5 linked regions of the Cricetulus griseus genome follow. The protein of the gene in region 2 purifies or fractionates together with the protein of the main gene of each other region. This does not show direct contact. Links are inferred from orthologs where the notes say so. Each region holds a gene or a part of one and is shown on either strand. Other genes may lie near its edges.

Region 1 (4,173 bases), on a different chromosome or scaffold from region 2:
TTCTGATCCTATGAGTGCTGGGATTACTGGTAGGTGTGGTGGAGTTAGGGATCAAGCTTAGGGCTTCCTGCATGCTAAAGAGCACTCTACTGAGTTGCCTCCCCAGCCCTTACTTTTCAGTAAGTGGTATCCATCTTTAAGTTATGTGTCACTTTTTAAAAGTGGTACATGCGAGGATCAATGATGGCCGTGAGCCATTAATCAGAGATCATAATTCATTCTGTCGCCTTGAAGTCCGCCCCCGCAAAACAGCAAACTGCCTTTTCTAATCTTTGCCAAGTGAGAAACTGAAATGAGTAGGAGGGGCGGTAACTATTTTCACTTTTGTCTTCCTGTTTTTTTCAGAGCCTGGGAAAGCAAGTCAGAATTTCCAATCTTTTCCAATTCCCTCATGATTTCCTAATTTAGAATGACTTCAGAGAAAATAAGTCTTTCTCCATGTGCTGAAGCCTTTTTATTCTGGCACTGGGAAACAGCCTAAGTGGAGAGCACTCTAGCCCAGGCCCCCACCCTCAACCAGCACGCCTAGGTGCAATTTTCGCACCCTGAAAACGCTGTTATCACTGAAGCCTGGGCCCAAGTGGGAAGCCTTCAGGAGATGTGCAAGCAAGATGTGACCCCGGCTGCTTCTGCAGATGCCTAAGGGTCTAGACTTTAGCAGAAAGCACCTATCTGCAGAGATGAAGCCGTGGGGTTTGACCCTGGGCGTCTTCCAGCACGCACTGCCCTCCGGGACTCTTAGATCAAGTCCTCAGAGAGAGGCACAGGTGTCCAGCCTTCGGCCTCTCTCTCTCCCTCTCTCCCCACGGCCTCAGTGAAGCAGGCTCCACGGAGCATGGCTCCCCGACTCCTGCGAGTGCAGCTGGATCTAGGATGAGGAGGAGATGGCCTATAACGCGCCGCGGTCCCCAGCAGGCCTGGCACGCTGAGGAAAGCGTGTGGAATTCAGTCACCGGCCTCTGCGGGCGCAGCAGGCCTGGGCCTCTCCCTGAGCGCGGGGAATGGCCGCAGCCTGCCAGCAGCCCTGGCTCTGCTCCAGACCGGGCCAGGGTGACATCACCAAACTCCTGCGATCAGAACGGGGCGGGGAACAGGACCCGAAATCCCCTAAAAACAGAGTGAGTAATCGCGGGACCGCCCTCCAGGCGGGGCCGGGGCCGGGACCCCGAGCGAGGCGCGTTGCGCAGCCCGGGAGCGGCCTGCAGCCCGGCGGGCCTCGGGACGAGTAGCCTCGGCGCCCTCGCGCCGCGCCCGGTGCCCCCGCCTGAGCGCCGCACACCTCCCGCGCCCTGCGAGAGTGGCACACCTCCTCCCGGGACCCACGCGCGGCGGCGGCCGCAGCACAGCGCGCAGGCGCGGCCGGATTCCGGGCAGTGACGCGACGGCGGGCGGGCGCGCGCCGCGCATTTCCGCCTCTGGCGAATGGCTTCGCTTTAGCGCGCCGCGGGCTCAGCTGCGACCCCGGCCCCGCCCCCGGGACCCCGGCCATGGACGGTGAGGCGGCCCTCTGACCCCGCGGGGTGGCTGCCCTCGAGCCCCCGGGCCCGCGGCGCGAGCCCTCCCGCGCCGTCTTCCGCCCCTTTCTGCGCCGCGGGGTGCCGCGCAGGGAGCCGCAGGCCGGATGGTGGCGCGGGGCGGGGCGGGCTGCGGGGGATCTGACTCAGTTACCCCTCTCGGTGGAGGGCGCCTTGACTTTGTCCCTCCTGGGTGGAAGTGCGGGTGAATCTTGCCTCTGTTTCCTCGGCGCCCCCCTCCCTCTCCGGTGTCGATGCGATTAGTTTTGGCTTCCTTTCCTTGTAAGGAAGAAAGTATCTGACTCAGTTTCCCCGAAGAGAAGAGGGAGGTAGTGTCTTTCCTTAGTGTCCCTTATGAACGCAAAACTGGCCTTGACTCAGTTTCCCCGGGCAGAGGAATGCCTCCATGCCCCTTTTCTCTCGTAGAGAGATGCTGCTGCCTTCTTGGCCCTGCCTCGTTCAGGGCAGGTTGTGAAGTCTTGACTCAGTTTCCTTGAGAGGGAGCTTGTTTCTATCGTCCCTTCCCTGGTGAGGATGGGCAGTGAGTGGAGTTTACTGACAATGTCTTTCCTTTTTAGATCTATTTCCCATCATCTTCCCCTCAGGTAAGTGGACCATCCTTCCTCAGTGGGTAGGGCTGTCCTGGAGTAGGGGCCATGGGGGCAGCACTTGATGGCTGGCTGTGTCACCTAGAGCCAACCCAGGCTTCTGGGCCTTATGTGGAGATCATCGAGCAGCCCAAACAACGGGGCATGCGTTTCCGCTACAAGTGTGAGGGTCGCTCAGCAGGCAGTATTCCGGGTGAGAGAAGCACAGATACCACCAAGACACACCCCACCATCAAGGTAGGCACCAGCTCCCAGGGGTTGGGAACTGATGTGGTGAGAGGCACTTGGAGCCCCAGCAGACCTGCCTCCTTGCCACCGTGCCCTGTGTCTAGGAGCCAGGTTTGGGATTGCTGGCCCCTAGAGTACTCTGTACTTTGGACAGATCAATGGCTACACGGGACCAGGAACAGTTCGAATCTCCCTGGTCACCAAGGACCCACCTCACCGGCCTCATCCACATGAACTTGTGGGGAAAGACTGCCGGGATGGTTTCTATGAGGCTGAACTCTGCCCAGACCGCTGCATCCACAGGTGAGCTCTTTACAGGCCGGGGTAGAGTGAGGTCAGTGGATAGGAGGCAGGGTAGGAGCAGACAAGGCCAGGTGGCTGTTAACAGTGTTACCCCTTTCTAGACACAGGCAGAATTCTGAGTCCTTGCTCTGTACCCAGCTCTGCAAACAGACCTTCTTTGTCTTAAATTCTCTGACAGACAGGAACTCCACGGGATAAGGATCACCTTATCACCTTGGAGCCACAGACACTTGTGGCTGAACAGGCCAGTCTCTTAGTGTCTCTCATATGAGAAAGATATCCATAATGGACTCTCCTGGAACATAAACACCAGCTGACAAAATCAGGCAATAAATAACTGTACGAACAGATAGACAAGATACCACTTGAGAATAGTAATTTCTATGATGAAAAGAAAGCACAGTAGCAAATTGGAAGGATGAAGAGGAGGCTAGCCTCATTGCTTGGAGACAGAGTCTCATATAGCCCAAGCTGGCCTTGAACTCATTAGGATTCATCTGGCTCTTCCTGTCAACTCCGAGGATAACAGGCATGTACCACCATGTCCTGATACGGGTCTCATGACTTTGGGTTGAAAGGTTACAGAAGGCCTGTCTGCTAACGCTTAAGTGATGAGGAAAGGCAGACAAGTCTAAAAGTATATTCCATGCTCAAGAAAGAAGTCCAGTGACCTTGAAGAGGGAATAAATTTAGTGGGCTTAGGAATGGCTAAGGGTGGGACGCTGGCTTGGAGGCTTGCTTTGGCTAGATTCCACAGAGGCTTGCTGACGGGCAAGGAGGGAGTTTCATTGCAGCCCAGTGGAATAGACTTGGGAGTGGGAGGCAGGAATGGGCTTTGCTGCAGACACAAAACTGATGCCTGAGACACCACAGCTTTCAGAACCTGGGGATCCAGTGTGTGAAGAAGCGAGACCTGGAGCAAGCCATCAGCCAGCGCATCCAGACCAACAACAACCCCTTTCAAGGTAGGAGCAAGGGGCAAAGACATAGCCTACCTGTGGCGTCCACATCTCCATCACTTCCCCGGGCCTCTGCAGTCCCCTCCCTCCATGACCAGGCAAACAGTCTAAGTGGAACCTGCTAGCTTGGTACACTCACATTACCATCCAGAGTCAGGCCTAGAGAGGGATCACGTCTTCCATGTTGCAGTAGAGCCAGTGATGAGTCTAGAATTTTGTCTTCCTCCCTGAGACTTCTGTTGTGCTTGTCTCCCTTCGCTCAGAGCTCCCTGCCCTCCGTGACTCCCCTCATCCCTCTGTTTTTCTGACAGTTCCTATAGAGGAGCAGCGTGGGGACTATGACCTGAATGCAGTGCGCCTCTGCTTCCAGGTGACGGTGCGGGACCCATCAGGCAGGCCCCTCCGCCTGACTCCTGTCCTCTCTCATCCTATTTTTGATAACCGTGAGTGGCCGCCTCTAGTAAGGGGAAAGGGAGGGTCTGGAAGAGAAAGGGGGCTGGAGTGGGTGTGACCTGTGAAGAGTGCTCTGGTTCCCTTTAGTCCTCCAGTTATGCTGGCAGG
Region 2 (3,514 bases):
ACTCCATTTAGGGGCACTAATGCCTCGGTTTATGGTGTGGATTTACCAAAGTGTAACCAGCCAACACATTCTGAGACAAAGAAGTGGGGGGAGGGGTGACATTCTGAAGACACTAGGTATCTCCAGGGACTAGTTACAATGCTCTAACTGGCGGTTAGAATTGAGATCCCTCCCCTGCTCTGCCCTGAACCAAAAGTATTTAAAACATTCTAGAGTATTACAATATCCAAACATGGACAAGGGAGATGGAGGAAAATTATAACGTGTACAAAACAATTATGGCATAAAAAGCAATGCTCTCCAACATTCTGCATCTTATTTGTACATGCAAAATCTGTTGCCATCCACAACTAAGGACAGGAATTCCACATCCACCTGAAAACATTGCTGTGGTCATGACCACAGTGAATAAAACTGGATGTTCAGAGAAACAGCCAGCTTTTCAAAGTCAGAATCACATGAAAATGTAGAGTTGGCTAAAGAACTCTTGGGCTGAAAAGCATAGCTGGAAACAGAGACTGACTGAATCACATCTGCAAACTCCTAGGTCCACGTTACAGCCAGGCAGAGTGGCCACACCAGCAATCCCAGCACTTTGGAGGCCAAATAAGAAAACTATGGGATCAAGGCCAACCTGGGTTATGTGGCACATGCAGGGCCAGCAAACCTGTGTCTCAAAAAGGAGAACAGACACAACATCACCTCAGGAAACAGCAGACACCAACACAGATCTCAATAGGGCAGTAGGGCACCTCAGATAGAAAACTCTCAAACTGACATCCAGCATTACCACAGAATGTACCAAGGAAACAGGCTACCAAGCTTAACAAAGGAAACTGAGATCTGCCTGCCCATTGTCAAAGGGTTTTTGTTCCTTCATGGGTTTTTGTTATTCTATTTGATTTTGGTTATTATTAAGATACAAACAAGGCATGGATAAAAAATACTGACATATCCTTCCACACCAGATGGGTATGTACAAACAACATTTCTCTTGAGGCAACCAAGACTTTACTTTTTAAAATTTATTTCTATTTTATGTATGAGTGCTCTGCATGTATATTATGTATAGTGTTCTGCTTACATGTACGGCTGGATGCCAGAAGAGGGCACCACATCTCATTACAGATGGTTGTGAGCCACCATGGGGTTGCTGGGAATTTTAACTTAAGACCTTAACCTCTGAGCCATCTCTCCAGCCTGGTATTCCAGCCAAACAGCCTCACTATGGCCCACCATGGCCTTAAACTCACAGGTGGGCAATCTTGCCTCAACCTCCTCAATGGTCTTAGTCACAAACTGTCACATTCAGCACTTTTTCTTTCTTTGCTTGTTTTGAGGCAGGGTTCCACTATGTAGACCAGGCTATTCTCAGATTCTCTAAGTAGACTAGGCTGGCCTCAGACACCTGCCTGAGTGCTTTAAAGGTGAGCACTGCCACCACACCTAGGTTTTCTTTCTTAAAAGAAATGGATATGTATGCAGCACATAGTGTGTGTGTGTGTGTGTGTGAGAGAGAGAGAGAGAGAGAGAGAGAGAGAGAGAGAGAGAGAGAGAGAGAGAGAGAGAGAGAGAGAGACCGAGACCGACAGACAGATTAGAAATTAGGACAGATGGTGCAATGCTACAAAAACTAAAGAAAACAAAAATACAGGACAAGTATAAAGAGACCCAGAACAATATTCCAGCCAGGGAAGAGATGCCAGGTACCCAGAGTAAAAAGAAGGATAAGGATGGGAGGAGCTTCAGTGCATACTTGATTAAAGTCAGGGTCTTTCTCTCCATCTGGCTTAGTTTCCTCCTTGTCCTCTTCTGTCTCAGAACTACTCACATTCAACTCTGGAGCTGAGTCCTTCATCACCTGAATGCACCAGGAGCAGAGAGAAATGAGTCAGGCCCTAGGTGAGCATGCCGTAGGGGGTGGGCAACCACCTTCTTTGCTTTTAACTTCTTATAGTCTAACCCTGTGGCCTTCCTACCTCTGAGTGTTACTCATTTATTTACCTATATTTTATTATCATTTTGATGTAGAGCTCTCACTATTGTATCTCTAGCTGTCCAGGAACTATGCAGACCAGGCTGGTCTTGAACTCTGCTAGATTAAAGGCATGCACCACCACACCCAGCCTAGTTTTATTTCTAATTGGGTATCTCTTCTATGTATGTTTATCTGCATGTAGCTCAGGCGCCTCATATGCCAGAAACATCAAATCCCCTGCAACTAGAGTTACAGGTTATGACTCGCCTGATATAGGAACTGAGAAACAAAAAATATGTTCTTCTGCATAACACTGTGGGCACAGCTAATAAACTCAAACAATGGTTGTTCCTTCTACTATGTAAATGGGCTGAAAGTCAACAGGGTTAAGAAAATCCTGGGGGAAAGTGGGGGTGCTTATATCATGTTCCTTTTCTCAACATGTTTGGAAATAAAGGCCTTTGTTTTAATCTATGAAGTAGAACTCTATATCTGTAATGCATTAATGTGGAAAGTAGCATTCTAATACAATGCATCGAGTAACTAACTGCCTTTAAAATTGTCCAAACCCTGTAATTCAACTGATGGATGTTCATGCTCTATTCTCAAAGTCAATACTAATACAGAAAGAATGCTCACAAATTCTAATTTCACTGGCCATTCAGATCTATGCTGAGGCTGAGGCTGAGGCTGAGGCTGCCTTTCCCTGTCCTGCTATGATGCCATCATAGCTAAACCCAACAGGCAGGGCAATTTTTTAAACCAGAAGTCAGACAACACTGGGAATTCTACTTTTTTCCAACTGTTCAAGTTCAACACTAAGTAGGCAGATTTGATGGCCTACATTCTGTAGTCATGGCCACAAGAAGAACTGGTACCTTTTTGTTGTCCACAACTTTGTGGACATAGATGGTGGCTTGGGTATACTCTCGTAGGTCCCGCTGCTGCTGGCACAGCAGGCCTTCTCTGCAATCTGGACAGAGTTCTAGAACAGAGCAGATCAGAAAAACTTAAGAATTGCTGCAAAAAACCTGACATCAGTTACTACACAGCCAACTCAGTAATTGATGTGTCAGGCAGCATGTAAATGATGAGGGAATCTGTGTACTGCCTGGAACTAACAACGGCAGCTCACAGGTCTGCCAGAAGCGTCTGAGCTACTCCATAGCCTTTACTGACAAACCCTTCCCTTCCCCTTAAACTGTCAACTTATAATAAAAGGAAAAGAGATAGGAAAACTTACTAGGCTCAGAAATATACTGTACTTCAGAAGGGCCCGCATCTCCGACTGCAATTCTCGTGATTTTGATTACTTTATCCACGACAAAGAGCTTTTGAATCATCTGCCACTCGCTGGGCCATATGAGAGCTATACTGTGCAAAAAAAAAAAAGAAAGAAAAAGAAAAACAAAAAACAAGAAACAACATGCCTTAAGACACGTGGAGAGCAACAGAACAAATATCCTACAACAAATCAATGCCACCAACAATTTACTGCAAACAAACAGGAAGGGTCTGACTCATGACATATGAAAC
Region 3 (3,008 bases), on a different chromosome or scaffold from region 2:
GTTGAGACTTCCAGAGACACGAATCACCTTGGGGCCTTGATGACTGCGCCTTTCCTCCTCAGTAGTTAGGGCTTCATCTCTTTAGAAAAAGTCAGTGCCAATCTCGAATGTAACCAATGCCACTAATATTAAACCAGCTCTCAATGTGGTTGTTTTGGTGGAATTGGGGAAAATATAAATAAACCCAAAGCCCTTTTAAACCTGAATTCTGAGTCTGGGACTTCTCTGTTGAAATACTTTCTAATTGCCTCATGTTCTCAGAATGCATCCCAGGAAGCACCGAGCAAAGAGAAAACTGCCTCAATTCCTACAGCCTGCCTGTTTTCAGTTAACAGAACCTACTTGTATTACAGTCTTGCCCATCCCCACTGCTCTAAGGGAACTTACAATTCCACTCCCACCTCCCAACACAACACATGCCAGGTACATGGCTCTACCACGGAGCTATAGAACCCCAACCCCGGGCCTACAGCAATTCGAAATTAATCAAGACACTCCATCTTTTAAAAAAACAGAACAACCATTTAATAAAATTAGCCCATTGAAACTCCCCACTACCTAAGGTTCTAAACTTGGGATAGCTGCAAAATTCCAGTTCAGAAGCCAGTAGAGGCTCAGTCCAGATAGGGATTCACCGACTTGTGCTGGTATCTAGGTGTTTGGGTTGTGAATTGAGTCGCTGGGAAGAAAAGGGGATAGCTAGGCCCGGCTGCCAGTCTCCTGCGGCAAGAACACAGCTCTTCTGTCCACAGGCCTGTAAGCTTCTCCCAAACCCTTTCCAGGAGGCATCCTGGAGAAAACCAGCTCATATTACAGTGATTTTGTCCCGGCCACACCACACACCGGCCGATGAACGAAGATGGGGTAAACTGGTATGAGGCCAACGAAGGGGAAAACACAGGACCAAACAATATGATCCATTTCTCTTCACCAAAGCCTGGTAATCAAGTCACTTCTGGAAGGTCCAGGCGAGGGCTAAAGCACCAAGCTGAAGAAAGGACGCCCGGGTTGCAGCTGCAGAGTAACTCACCTTCAGGCCCACCTCAGCCGTACGTCACAGCAAAAGGCCGACACTTCTGGAAGGTGTCGCAACCTCTCCGCGCGGCCCATCGAGACGGAGACCGGCGAAGCTCCGCGATGGATAAGTACCGCGGCGCCTGACCCGGAGGCCGTGCAGGGAAGGGGAGGCAGAAACGCGCGATGGCAGAGAAAGGGGAAGAGAATGGGAACGCGGCGGCCCGGCCCGCAGCCCTAAGTGGCTCAGCTCTTTCCGTGAGGGAGGTGGTGGCCCTTAAAAGGGCCTTTGTGGAGGTGTGGGGAGGGCTGGGCGGCCAGGGCGCGGGCTCCCTCAGTACTCCTGAGAGGCCTGGGTGGCCTTCTTGCCGCTCGCCGGCGCCTTGGGCCCCACGGTGGCGCTCGTCTTCTTGGGCAGCAGCACGGCCTGGATGTTGGGCAGGACGCCGCCCTGAGCGATCGTCACGCCGCCCAGAAGCTTGTTGAGCTCCTCGTCGTTGCGGATGGCCAGCTGCAGGTGGCGCGGGATGATGCGCGTCTTCTTGTTGTCCCGCGCCGCGTTGCCCGCCAGCTCCAGAATCTCAGCGGTGAGGTACTCGAGCACGGCCGCCAAGTACACCGGGGCGCCGGCTCCCACGCGCTCGGCATAGTGGCCTTTCCTCAGCAGCCGATGCACGCGGCCTACCGGGAATTGTAGACCGGCGCGCGAGGAGCGCGATTTCGCCTTGGCGCGGGCCTTGCCTCCGGTTTTACCGCGACCCGACATCGTATACGAGGTAGAAAGCAGAGAGCAACACCGACGACGAAAGAAAACTGCCAACCGCCGCAGTCAACTGTCGCCGCGCGCGGGCGAGCTCGCCCTTATAAACTCCATGGACACGCCCCCGCCTCCCCCTGATTGGCTCTTTTCCCCAGTACCGGCCTCTGGTTGGTTGGAATTAACCCTTCGGTGACGCGCCTAGGCGAAAAGAGCTCGCCCAGCGATTGGTCCAATTTGAAAACCTTTTACCCGGGGAAGAAAGCAAGGCGGAGTGGCCGCAAACAGCAGGCTAATCATCCATGGAAGTGGCCAATCCTTATTAAGCGCGCGAAATTTAAACGCTATTGCGCGCCACCAGAACCGGAAGACTAGGAAGGTGGAGTCTGGAGGCGCATGACTGTCTCTGGGAAATCTGGGCCGGCCAAGGGTTTTAAAGTAAAAGGGTTAGCCGAGCGATAGTGGTGCACACCTTTAATTCAAGCACTCAGGAAGCGGAGGAAGGGGGAGCTCTGAGTTCAAGCTTAGCCTGGTAACAAAGCGAGTTCCAGGACAGCCAGGGTTACAAGGGGAAACCCTGTTTCGAAAAACATTTTAACAAAAGTTAAAAAGGGAAAGAGTTCTCCTTCCAGGTCAGGGGCACTCCCACGCCCTCCTCAAATTTGGCAAAGGGAGGGTTTAAAGGAGAAGAAATGAAACCTGAGAGTACAATCCTATGCCAGAAAACTGAGTGCTGTGATCCTTTGTGCTACGACAAGTTAGTATTTTAATATTTATTCAACATGTTCTGTCTGGTTTCAGTTCTGTCACTTCTTGCAGGAAGGGGTCTGATGGAACAGAGGTAGGTATTCTCTTGGAAAGGGTACCCACCCCAACCCTTCCAATCGATCCTAAAATGCCCATACGAAAGATAAATAGGGGATAGATGTATAGATTTATTCAGTGGTAGAGCACTTAACAAAGTTCAGTCCTCAGGCCGGATGTTGGTTGCACAAGCCTTGTATCCCAGCACTGGGAGACAGAGGCAGGTGGATCTCTGTGAGTTCGAGGCCAGCCTGGTCTCCAGAGCGAGTGCCAGGATAGGCTCCAAAGCTATACAGAGAAACCCTGTCTCGAAAAACCAAAAAAAAAAAAAAAAAAAAAAAAAAGAGTTCAGTCCTCAAGTATCTCAAAGGCTAGAAAAAGAGGTTGAGGGAGAGAAGCAAGTAAAAGACAATCCTTTATTGTCACCATTTTG
Region 4 (4,276 bases), on a different chromosome or scaffold from region 2:
TGCTGGCCTCATCAGCGAGCATCAGGTCCCGTTCAGGCAGTGCGTCCTCCCAGTCCAGAATGGTGTCCCTCAGCTCCCCCCTGCAGCAGGTCAGGGAAGGGAGTTAGGGCCCTCACTTCCTGACAGGGGCAGGTGTGAGGAAGGTTACTCACCTACAGGCCCTTAGGCCCCTGGCCTTGGCCACTGTGCAGAGCCGGCCCGTGGCCTTGAGGCCCATGGTACCCACGACTGTCTCTCTCACGTATTGCCTGTACAGGGGGGAAGGAGGGGGATGTGACTTGTCTAGCGCTCTTTCAGGGGTCTGGGGGTGGTGTAACCAGTGTATGGGGTACAGGCTCAATCCCTGGGCTACACTGCAAGACCAACAGCCTAGGGATACAAAGACAGGTGCCTCAGTCTGGGAAGGGCTTGACATGCAGACATGAGGCCCTGAGTTCAAAAGGCGGCACAATGGAGCAGATTTACCACCCCAGCGCTGGAGACCCCAGGAGGTTCCTGGCCACTCAGCAAAACCAGCAATTGACAGGTTCTGAGAGACTGTGCTTCAGAACACAAGGAGAGGGGTTGAGTTAAGACACCTGATGCTGGGGCTGGAGAGCACTAACCGCTTTTCCAGAGGACCCAGGCTCAATTTCCAGCAACCACCTGGTGGCTCACAACCACCTGTAATGAGATCTGGTGCCCTCTTCTGACATAAAGGCGTACAAGCAGGCAGAACACTCATACATTAAGTAAATGGGTAAATCCTTAAACCCCCCCCCTCCAAATGACAACAGCAAAAAACCAAACCAACAACAATACAAGACCATCCACCAGTGTGTGTGTGGGGTGGCCAAACATGATGGCTCATTGGCTGTGATCTCAGCACCAGGAAGCAGAGGCAACTTAAAGAGGGGGTCAGGGGCTGAAGCTCAGGGGCACAGCTCTTGCCTAACACCCTCGAGGATCTGGTGTAAAGCAATGTTGTCTGCTGGCTGGGAGCCACAGCAGGGGGGTGGGGCAGGGAGAACCCCTCACTTCCAAGGATGTGGCTTGTGTCGCCCTGTTTTGTAGCTTCTTGCTTGGGGGACCTCCTCATAGCTTGTCTGTTTTTAACTGACTGTCACTGGAATCAGAGGCACCTCCCAGCTTTCCCTGGGGCCATTTCAGGACCTGTTAGCTGGTTCAGCGGAGGAACCTGGGAGAGCCCCACCCTGGGAGAGCCCCTCCCCTGCCGGTCTTCACTTGCGGACACTCACGTCTTACACTTGGGACATTCCTCTACAAACATGTTTCCATGGAGCTCAGCCAGCTTGTCCCTGCGGAAGAGAATGAGAGTCAGGTCCCTTCCTCCCTGAACCCTGAGGCTTGGACCAGTTGCTCAGCCTGCCTCTTCCTCCAGAAAGCCTTCCTAGGCTGCTCACCCACAAGGTCTAGGCTGAGGAATTGTTACAGGTGGCGATGACCCTATCTCTGCAAACACAAATAGCTGCTCCCCACTACAAAAATCTGTTGGCCAGATGGACCGTGGTGTCGCACGCCTTTAATCCCAGCACTCGGGAGGCAGAGGCAGGCGGATCTCTGTGAGTTCGAGGCCAGCCTGGTCTACAGAGCTAGTTCCAGGATAGGTTCCAATGCTACACAGAGAAACCCTGTCTCGAAAATCTTAAAAAACAAAAAAACAGAAAACAATCTGTTGGCCTTAGAGCACTTGCCTAGACGCCCCCAGTGAGGGGCTGGGGGCGTGGCTCAGGGTGGAGCCCCACCTAGAAACCCCCCCATTGACCAAGTGCTGGCCTACTTTAGGCTCCAAGCTCTTCCCCCCTTTCCATCTCCAATAAAATGTCCCTGACCCCGGGCAGGCAGCCTGGTTCCCGGATAAGGAAGGGGTGCAGCTGAGCCCCACGCCCCTGGTCCAGTCCCATCTGACCTGGGGAAGCCCGAGCGTACGTGCAGCCCGTCCACATTCTGGCTGACGAGGAAGCTGAGGAAGCCCGAGCGCTCCAGCTGCACCAGGGCCATGTGGGTCTTGGAGGGCCGGGCGTTCTCGAAGGTGGTGTCAAACTTGGGGGCCAGGCCACGCTCTTCCATGGTCCACACGCCGTGGGGGCCTCTGAGGACAGCGAGCAGAGGACAGAAGTTCCTTTTCGAGTGCAGGCCTCGTCCTGGGAGCCTGAAGTCAGTGTGTGCTGCGGGCTGGGTCCCTGTCGGGGAGAGCCAGCCGGCCAGCCGGGGACCCCGCAGCCGGGGACCCCGCAGACGCGTCCCAGCATCCCCTGCAGCCACACATCGCCGGGATCTGTGGCGGCTGCCCCACCTCACGGCCGTCCCCGCCAGCGCCCTGCCTCAGTTTCCCGTGCTCGTTCACAGACCTGAAGTCGGGGATGCCGGAGGCGGTGCTGATGCCGGCGCCCGTGTGGAAAACCACGCTGGAGGCCTGCAGCATCAGCCGGGCCAGCTCCCCCACCTTCCGCTCCAGCTCCTCCGGGGGGTCGAAGATCTGTGGGGACGGGGGCACAGCTGGGCTCAGGGACGGACCCCACCGCACCGCACCCACCCCGCCCGCGGGGTCCTCCTTCCAGGAAAGTCCTTCCCGCTGTCTACACTCCGTGTTTCGTGCTGTCCCCACAATGCCCCACTCGTCCGGGCCCCCGTCTGGCGACCGGGACACCGTGGCCTCACCTCCGGCAGCCCGCACTTGCCCTTATCCGCATACGGCGACAGCCCGGCTGCGTAATTCACCGACATCGTCGCCAACAGCGCAGACGGGAACAATAAAGTTTCCCTTGTTGAGGCCGCTTCCGCCGGAAATGGGGAAGGGACCGCCGGGGTGGGAGCGTTAGAGGCGGAGGAGGTGTTTCCCCCCGGAGCGCGCGCGCCGCACTGACGCCGCGGGCGCCATCTTTAGTGCTGGCAGAGACTTGCGGGCTGCCTCGCGAGCCTTCCCTTCTCGTCCCCGGCGCGCTCGCAGGAACCGAGTCCCAGCCCAGCCTGGCTGTGCAATGAGACCCTGTTTCAGAAAAGCGACAAAACCAGCAACAAAAACCATTAAAAACAACCCCCGGAACTCTCACTCCGTGGGTAGAGCTCACCCCTCGTGCATACAGCCGCGGCGGGAGTTCGAAGCCCGTCTAGAGGTCGTGAGACCCTGGGCGGCCTTTGGGTCTCTGCTGTGCGGCTGTCAGCCCGTGTCTGCCCCTTTCTGAGCCACAGGATAGAATGAATGGGAACTTGGGGTTCACAGGCACCCCCTCCCCCGGGCGCCCTGCCAGCATGTTCTCAGCTTTGTTTCTGGGGATAGCACAGAGCATCACGGTCAGGTCCCCACGTTACACAGAGGGGCCCGGAGACGCAGAGAGAGATGGGGAAGGGGATACTGGGTCAGAAGCACCTCCTGTGATCCCCTCCTGTGGCAGTCCATCCTGACCCCTGTGCCTGCTGGTGGTCAGACGGGACCAGGCCACGGCGATGGGGGCAGCAGTCCTTGGGGCTGCCCACATGAGCAGGCTGGCCAACAGCAGTCCTCCCTCTCTGGGCTCATCCCGTCCCCCTGGGCGGATGCCCCCCCTTCCTGATCAGGTGTCACCCCGACTCTGCTGCTGGCAGCTCGCACTTGGAGCGGGTAACCAGAGAGGCTGTGGTGCACGCAGTGCTCTGGCCTAGAGACGCCTCAGGTAGGGGGATGAGACTGTGAGAGGCCAGGGAAGACGCTGCTCTGGGTCCCAAGGAAGGGGATACTGTGTCAGGGGGTTGGGGAGGGGGCTGCTTGCGACACCCGAACACATACATGCACCTGCACACTCGTGACAGGTACACGGGACCCACCCGACATGCGCGGACCTCGCTCAATGTGCGGCCTCCTCCCTGAACCATTGTGGGAACCCACAGGTCAGCGGACCTGTGCTGCCCCACCTCTTCCAGGAGGGAGACCCCTAAATTCACAGGCCTTACCCACACGATTCCATCCTGACTGCCAACCTGAGTTTCCTGTTACCCTTGGGTGTGATTGAACTTTATAATTGGGGGTGAGAATGAGCTGTACACTGAGCTGTAGAGGAGAAAGGAAGGATGGACAGGTGGGTGGATGAATGGATGGATGGATGGATGAGTGGATGGATGGATGGATGGATGGATGGGGTGGATGGGTGGGTGGTGGGTGGGGGGGGTGGATGGATGGATGGATGGGTGGGATGGGTGGATGGATGGGTGGGTGGTGGGTGGGTCTTCCCTGAATAGATTGCTTTTGCTCATTGAGAGTAGTCAGAAACGTGACTGGCCTTCCTACAAGGGGCTGATT
Region 5 (3,514 bases), on a different chromosome or scaffold from region 2:
AAGTTCTAGTTATCAATATCTGAACATTTGGAGTGTCCAAATCATTGGCTGTCATAAGTATGCTAGAATGATCACCTTGGAATATATGTAATTTGGCATGTGTGCAATAGCACCTTATTTCATTTATATGGATTACTTTATTTTGTGTTTTCATAAGTAATGTATGAGGGTGGTAAGAGGATTAGCTCTTCCTGACAAGATACTTCTACTCACATTTCTGGCTGTGGCCAACCTGAAATGTCAAAAACAGACACTCAGGAATTGATTTCTGTTGTTATAAATGTGCAGAATTAGATTCTAAATTTCACAGTGTATAGTCAGACAAGAATGCCTTCAAAATTATCCAAGTTAGGAACCCTAAAGTATAATCGTAAATGGTGTGAGAAAACAACTATTGTGAGGATGCTCTAGCTAGTCTACTTGGAAATAATTCATCAAGATGACGTTTGACTGGGTCCTGAAATAGCAGAAAGGATTAACAAGAAATAGAGATGAAAACCAGTATGCTTCCTTCCTAAGGGTAGAATGTACTTTCTTTCTCATTATGGAAGAAAAACAGACTTTTATACATACCTGATTTCAGTTTTTCTTACTTCAGATGTCTCTGTAAACACTATTATTGGAATGGCTAAATTAAGGAAACAGTTTTTATAAGCTTCAAAGGGATAGCCACCAGCTACTTTGATCATTTCCAAGGCAACCTAAATAAGAGAAGGTGACATGATTACCTAGAGAACAAAAAGTTAAAGCTTCTTGGGATTTTATCAGTCTTGTTCCTTGTGAAGGTTCAAGCCTGGATGTCTCTGTAAATAGTAAGAACAGCTATACACTTACAGTAAAATGTATTTCTTATTTATCTGACATTTTTAGTACATTTTACTTTTAATATTCAGTCTATTCTATATATATATAGTGAACAAAGTTATTTCACTATTTAATCATCCTATTTTCAAAGCAGACACCATAACTCAAAACTAAAGCAATTTAACCAATAAAGGAACAGACAACTAACTCCAATTTTGTAGAGTACTGATAGAGTACAATATAATAAATGGTCTTAATTATCTTTCTCAAGAGACTATCTACTTGACATGGAGAGTGACATGATTTCTGTGGAGGGTGGACGGGAAAGTGACAGGATGGCCAGGTGATCCTGTGTTGCTGCCTTTGGCCCTGTGCTCTAGGAGGATGGTATACTACATCTTTCCTCTGAGTCTGTCTGGTTGTCTCTCCCTGGGTTCTCACAATCAAGTACTCCTAAGGTTCCAGAATGGTCTCCTGGGTTCCAGGACCTGCTCCTGAGCTAGCTGTTGGGCTGGGTCCCTTCTTTCCACCGCCCCCAAACTCAGGAGGGAAGGAAAAGTCATTGACAACAACTATACTCTATCTTGAGTTTATTAACACTATTTTTATACATAGGACCTAGGACTTAGAGATATACCTCATTATATTTTCAGAAATATCTTGAAAGTTTAAATTATAAGATCCATTTTTTTTTTTAATCCCTTCATCTCTAAATTCTGCTTGGCCAGCTAAAGTTGGTGTGATGTTGGGAAGATCTGAGACTTTTTAGAAGAATAAACTTACCAAGCCAGAAACTGCAGCAGTAGATGTTGCTATAGCAGGGATAATTTTACCAGCTATGCGCTTAGTTTTAAACCGGTCAGCTGGTTCAATGCTATACATTTTGGCTCGAAGGTTGGATGCAGCTGTGATGAAATCTATGTGTCCATTATTGTCATCATCTTTTTCAAATGAAAGCACTGCCATCTGAAGGTCACCTGACCAGAGTAATCAGAAGAGCGCATGCTAGTTATGGTAAAGGTTTTATGAGATAAAAAGCAAGGTAAAAATGTACACGTATAAAATTTTCAAATAACCAGATTTCTAATAAAGAAATATACAAGTAACAAAGCTGAAGGACCCACTGAAAGCATTGCTTAGTTAACAAAAATATTAATCATAACCATTTTTGTTATGAACAAAATGAAAATGTATAAAGAAATAAGCAACTGAAGTTATAAAAGAACATGAAAACAATGGCATTAGGACCACCAAACTAAAGAAGTTAGTGTATAAAAAACAGTAAATAGTGAAATAAGAAAAGCCATTTGTGACATTAGCTGCTGCCATGTGGATTATAAAAGTAAATCTTTGATACTACTCAAAATTTAACCCATAAATATTACTTTGAAACATTTTCTCTCTGACAACTAACAAAATCATTTGTGCATCTCTTTGAATATTTCAGATTAGTGATTTCCAATATCACTTTCAAGACTATTAACATGACATATAATGAAATTTTACTGGTTCACACATGAAATCACAGAACTTTGAGAATTACTGATTTATCTAACAAAAGATGGTAAGCATGCCTAAGCAGATGAACGACTAGCTGCTTTTAAAGAATTAAAAGTTCAGCTGTAGCAAAGTTGTTTGTAAAGTCAGATTTTATTCCTGGTAAAACCTGAGAAAGCTAAGAGTAAGTAAAGAGCTTGATACACAGCATGAGGACCTAATTTGAGGTTCCAGAATCTACACAAATGTGAAAATCTGTAATCCCAGTGCCTCTACAGAGAGAGAAGGCAGACACAGGAGTAGCCCTTGAAGCTTGTAGGTCAACTAGCCTGGTGCAAGCATCAGAAGAACCAGCAAAGGGAGGACCAGCACCCAAGTTTATCCTCTGACCTCCGTGTGTGTGCCATGGCATGCACATGTCCATACGCTCATCTATACTCCCCCCCACCCCACCCCCGACACTCCCTCACCCACACTCTTTCTCTCTCACATACACACTCTCTAACATACACATACTCACCCTCTCTCTGAGACTTTTGGTAATTCTTTCCCCTAAAGTGGTATGTTTAAAGGTATGAATAGGTTACTAAGCTTATTTTTTTATTTTGAGATAGGGTCTCACTATGTAGCTTAAGATAACTGTGACTCCCTGATCCTGCTGATCCAGTAAGTCCAGCTAATCTGAACCTTCTGCTCCTTAAAAACAAGCTATTTGCTTGTGTTTTTAGAACTGTTCAATATCTGAAGCATAAAAACAGTAAGAATTACAATACAGCAGTTAATGTAATTTGGAGAATTAGTTTTTAAAACTTGAAGGCAAATACATGAGGAAAAAAATGATGACTTTAGTCATTGTTAAAGGACAGAAATTTTTTTCCCACCATTAAGTAACTTTTATTTTACATTGCAACTCCAGTTACTTCTCCCTCTCCTCTCACCTTATCCCCATCCCACTCCCATCAGCTATGATGACTAAGAATTAGTACCCTTGTCAAGTCTTTTATTAAGCGGGCAAGCGGAGGAATGATGGTTTACATCTCGAATGGACAAGTGTTGGACAGTCGAAATCAGTCCCCATGGAGATTGTCTTTTATAACAGATTTTTTCTGGGGAATAGCAGAATTTGTGTTTTTTTTTTTTTTTTTTTCAAAACTCTGCTTCAGCAAGATGTGAAAAAAAGAAGAGGCTATGGAAGCTCATCTAATTTCAGATA

The links.
Region 1: the proteins of Usp48 (region 2) and Rela purify together in Homo sapiens (affinity purification with mass spectrometry; 3 studies listed by BioGRID, with this or other methods). This does not show direct contact. The link is inferred for Cricetulus griseus from reciprocal best matches to the Homo sapiens genes USP48 and RELA.
Region 3: the proteins of Usp48 (region 2) and histone H2AX purify together in Homo sapiens (affinity purification with mass spectrometry; 3 studies listed by BioGRID). This does not show direct contact. The link is inferred for Cricetulus griseus from reciprocal best matches to the Homo sapiens genes USP48 and H2AX.
Region 4: the proteins of Usp48 (region 2) and Sirt6 purify together in Homo sapiens (affinity purification with mass spectrometry; 3 studies listed by BioGRID, with this or other methods). This does not show direct contact. The link is inferred for Cricetulus griseus from reciprocal best matches to the Homo sapiens genes USP48 and SIRT6.
Region 5: the proteins of Usp48 (region 2) and Uba6 fractionate together in Homo sapiens (co-fractionation; 3 studies listed by BioGRID, with this or other methods). This does not show direct contact. The link is inferred for Cricetulus griseus from reciprocal best matches to the Homo sapiens genes USP48 and UBA6.

What each region holds. Positions count from the first base shown.
Region 1 is NC_048596.1:53,708,025-53,712,197, reverse strand, and holds the start of Rela (transcription factor p65), read left to right. Parts: upstream 1-1,360; 5' UTR 1,361-1,487; coding exon 1,488-1,494; intron 1,495-2,092; coding exon 2,093-2,119; intron 2,120-2,207; coding exon 2,208-2,359; intron 2,360-2,483; coding exon 2,484-2,653; intron 2,654-3,526; coding exon 3,527-3,618; intron 3,619-3,923; coding exon 3,924-4,055; intron 4,056-4,173. UniProt on the Homo sapiens protein: NF-kappa-B is a pleiotropic transcription factor present in almost all cell types and is the endpoint of a series of signal transduction events that are initiated by a vast array of stimuli related to many biological processes such as inflammation, immunity, differentiation, cell growth, tumorigenesis and apoptosis.
Region 2 is NC_048595.1:15,692,555-15,696,068, forward strand, and holds part of Usp48 (ubiquitin carboxyl-terminal hydrolase 48), read right to left. Parts: intron 3,353-3,514; coding exon 3,222-3,352; intron 2,964-3,221; coding exon 2,857-2,963; intron 1,862-2,856; coding exon 1,757-1,861; intron 1-1,756.
Region 3 is NC_048597.1:156,021,756-156,024,763, reverse strand, and holds histone H2AX, read right to left. Parts: upstream 1,862-3,008; 5' UTR 1,781-1,861; coding exon 1,349-1,780; 3' UTR 506-1,348; downstream 1-505. UniProt on the Homo sapiens protein: Variant histone H2A which replaces conventional H2A in a subset of nucleosomes. Nucleosomes wrap and compact DNA into chromatin, limiting DNA accessibility to the cellular machineries which require DNA as a template.
Region 4 is NC_048598.1:102,384,271-102,388,546, forward strand, and holds the start of Sirt6 (NAD-dependent protein deacetylase sirtuin-6), read right to left. Parts: upstream 2,814-4,276; 5' UTR 2,728-2,813; coding exon 2,662-2,727; intron 2,480-2,661; coding exon 2,352-2,479; intron 2,153-2,351; coding exon 1,910-2,152; intron 1,299-1,909; coding exon 1,239-1,298; intron 249-1,238; coding exon 153-248; intron 81-152; coding exon 1-80. UniProt on the Homo sapiens protein: NAD-dependent protein deacetylase, deacylase and mono-ADP-ribosyltransferase that plays an essential role in DNA damage repair, telomere maintenance, metabolic homeostasis, inflammation, tumorigenesis and aging.
Region 5 is NW_023276807.1:151,369,229-151,372,742, forward strand, and holds part of Uba6 (ubiquitin-like modifier-activating enzyme 6), read right to left. Parts: exon of another isoform or gene 3,328-3,514; intron 1,782-3,327; coding exon 1,588-1,781; intron 702-1,587; coding exon 574-701; intron 1-573. UniProt on the Homo sapiens protein: Activates ubiquitin by first adenylating its C-terminal glycine residue with ATP, and thereafter linking this residue to the side chain of a cysteine residue in E1, yielding a ubiquitin-E1 thioester and free AMP.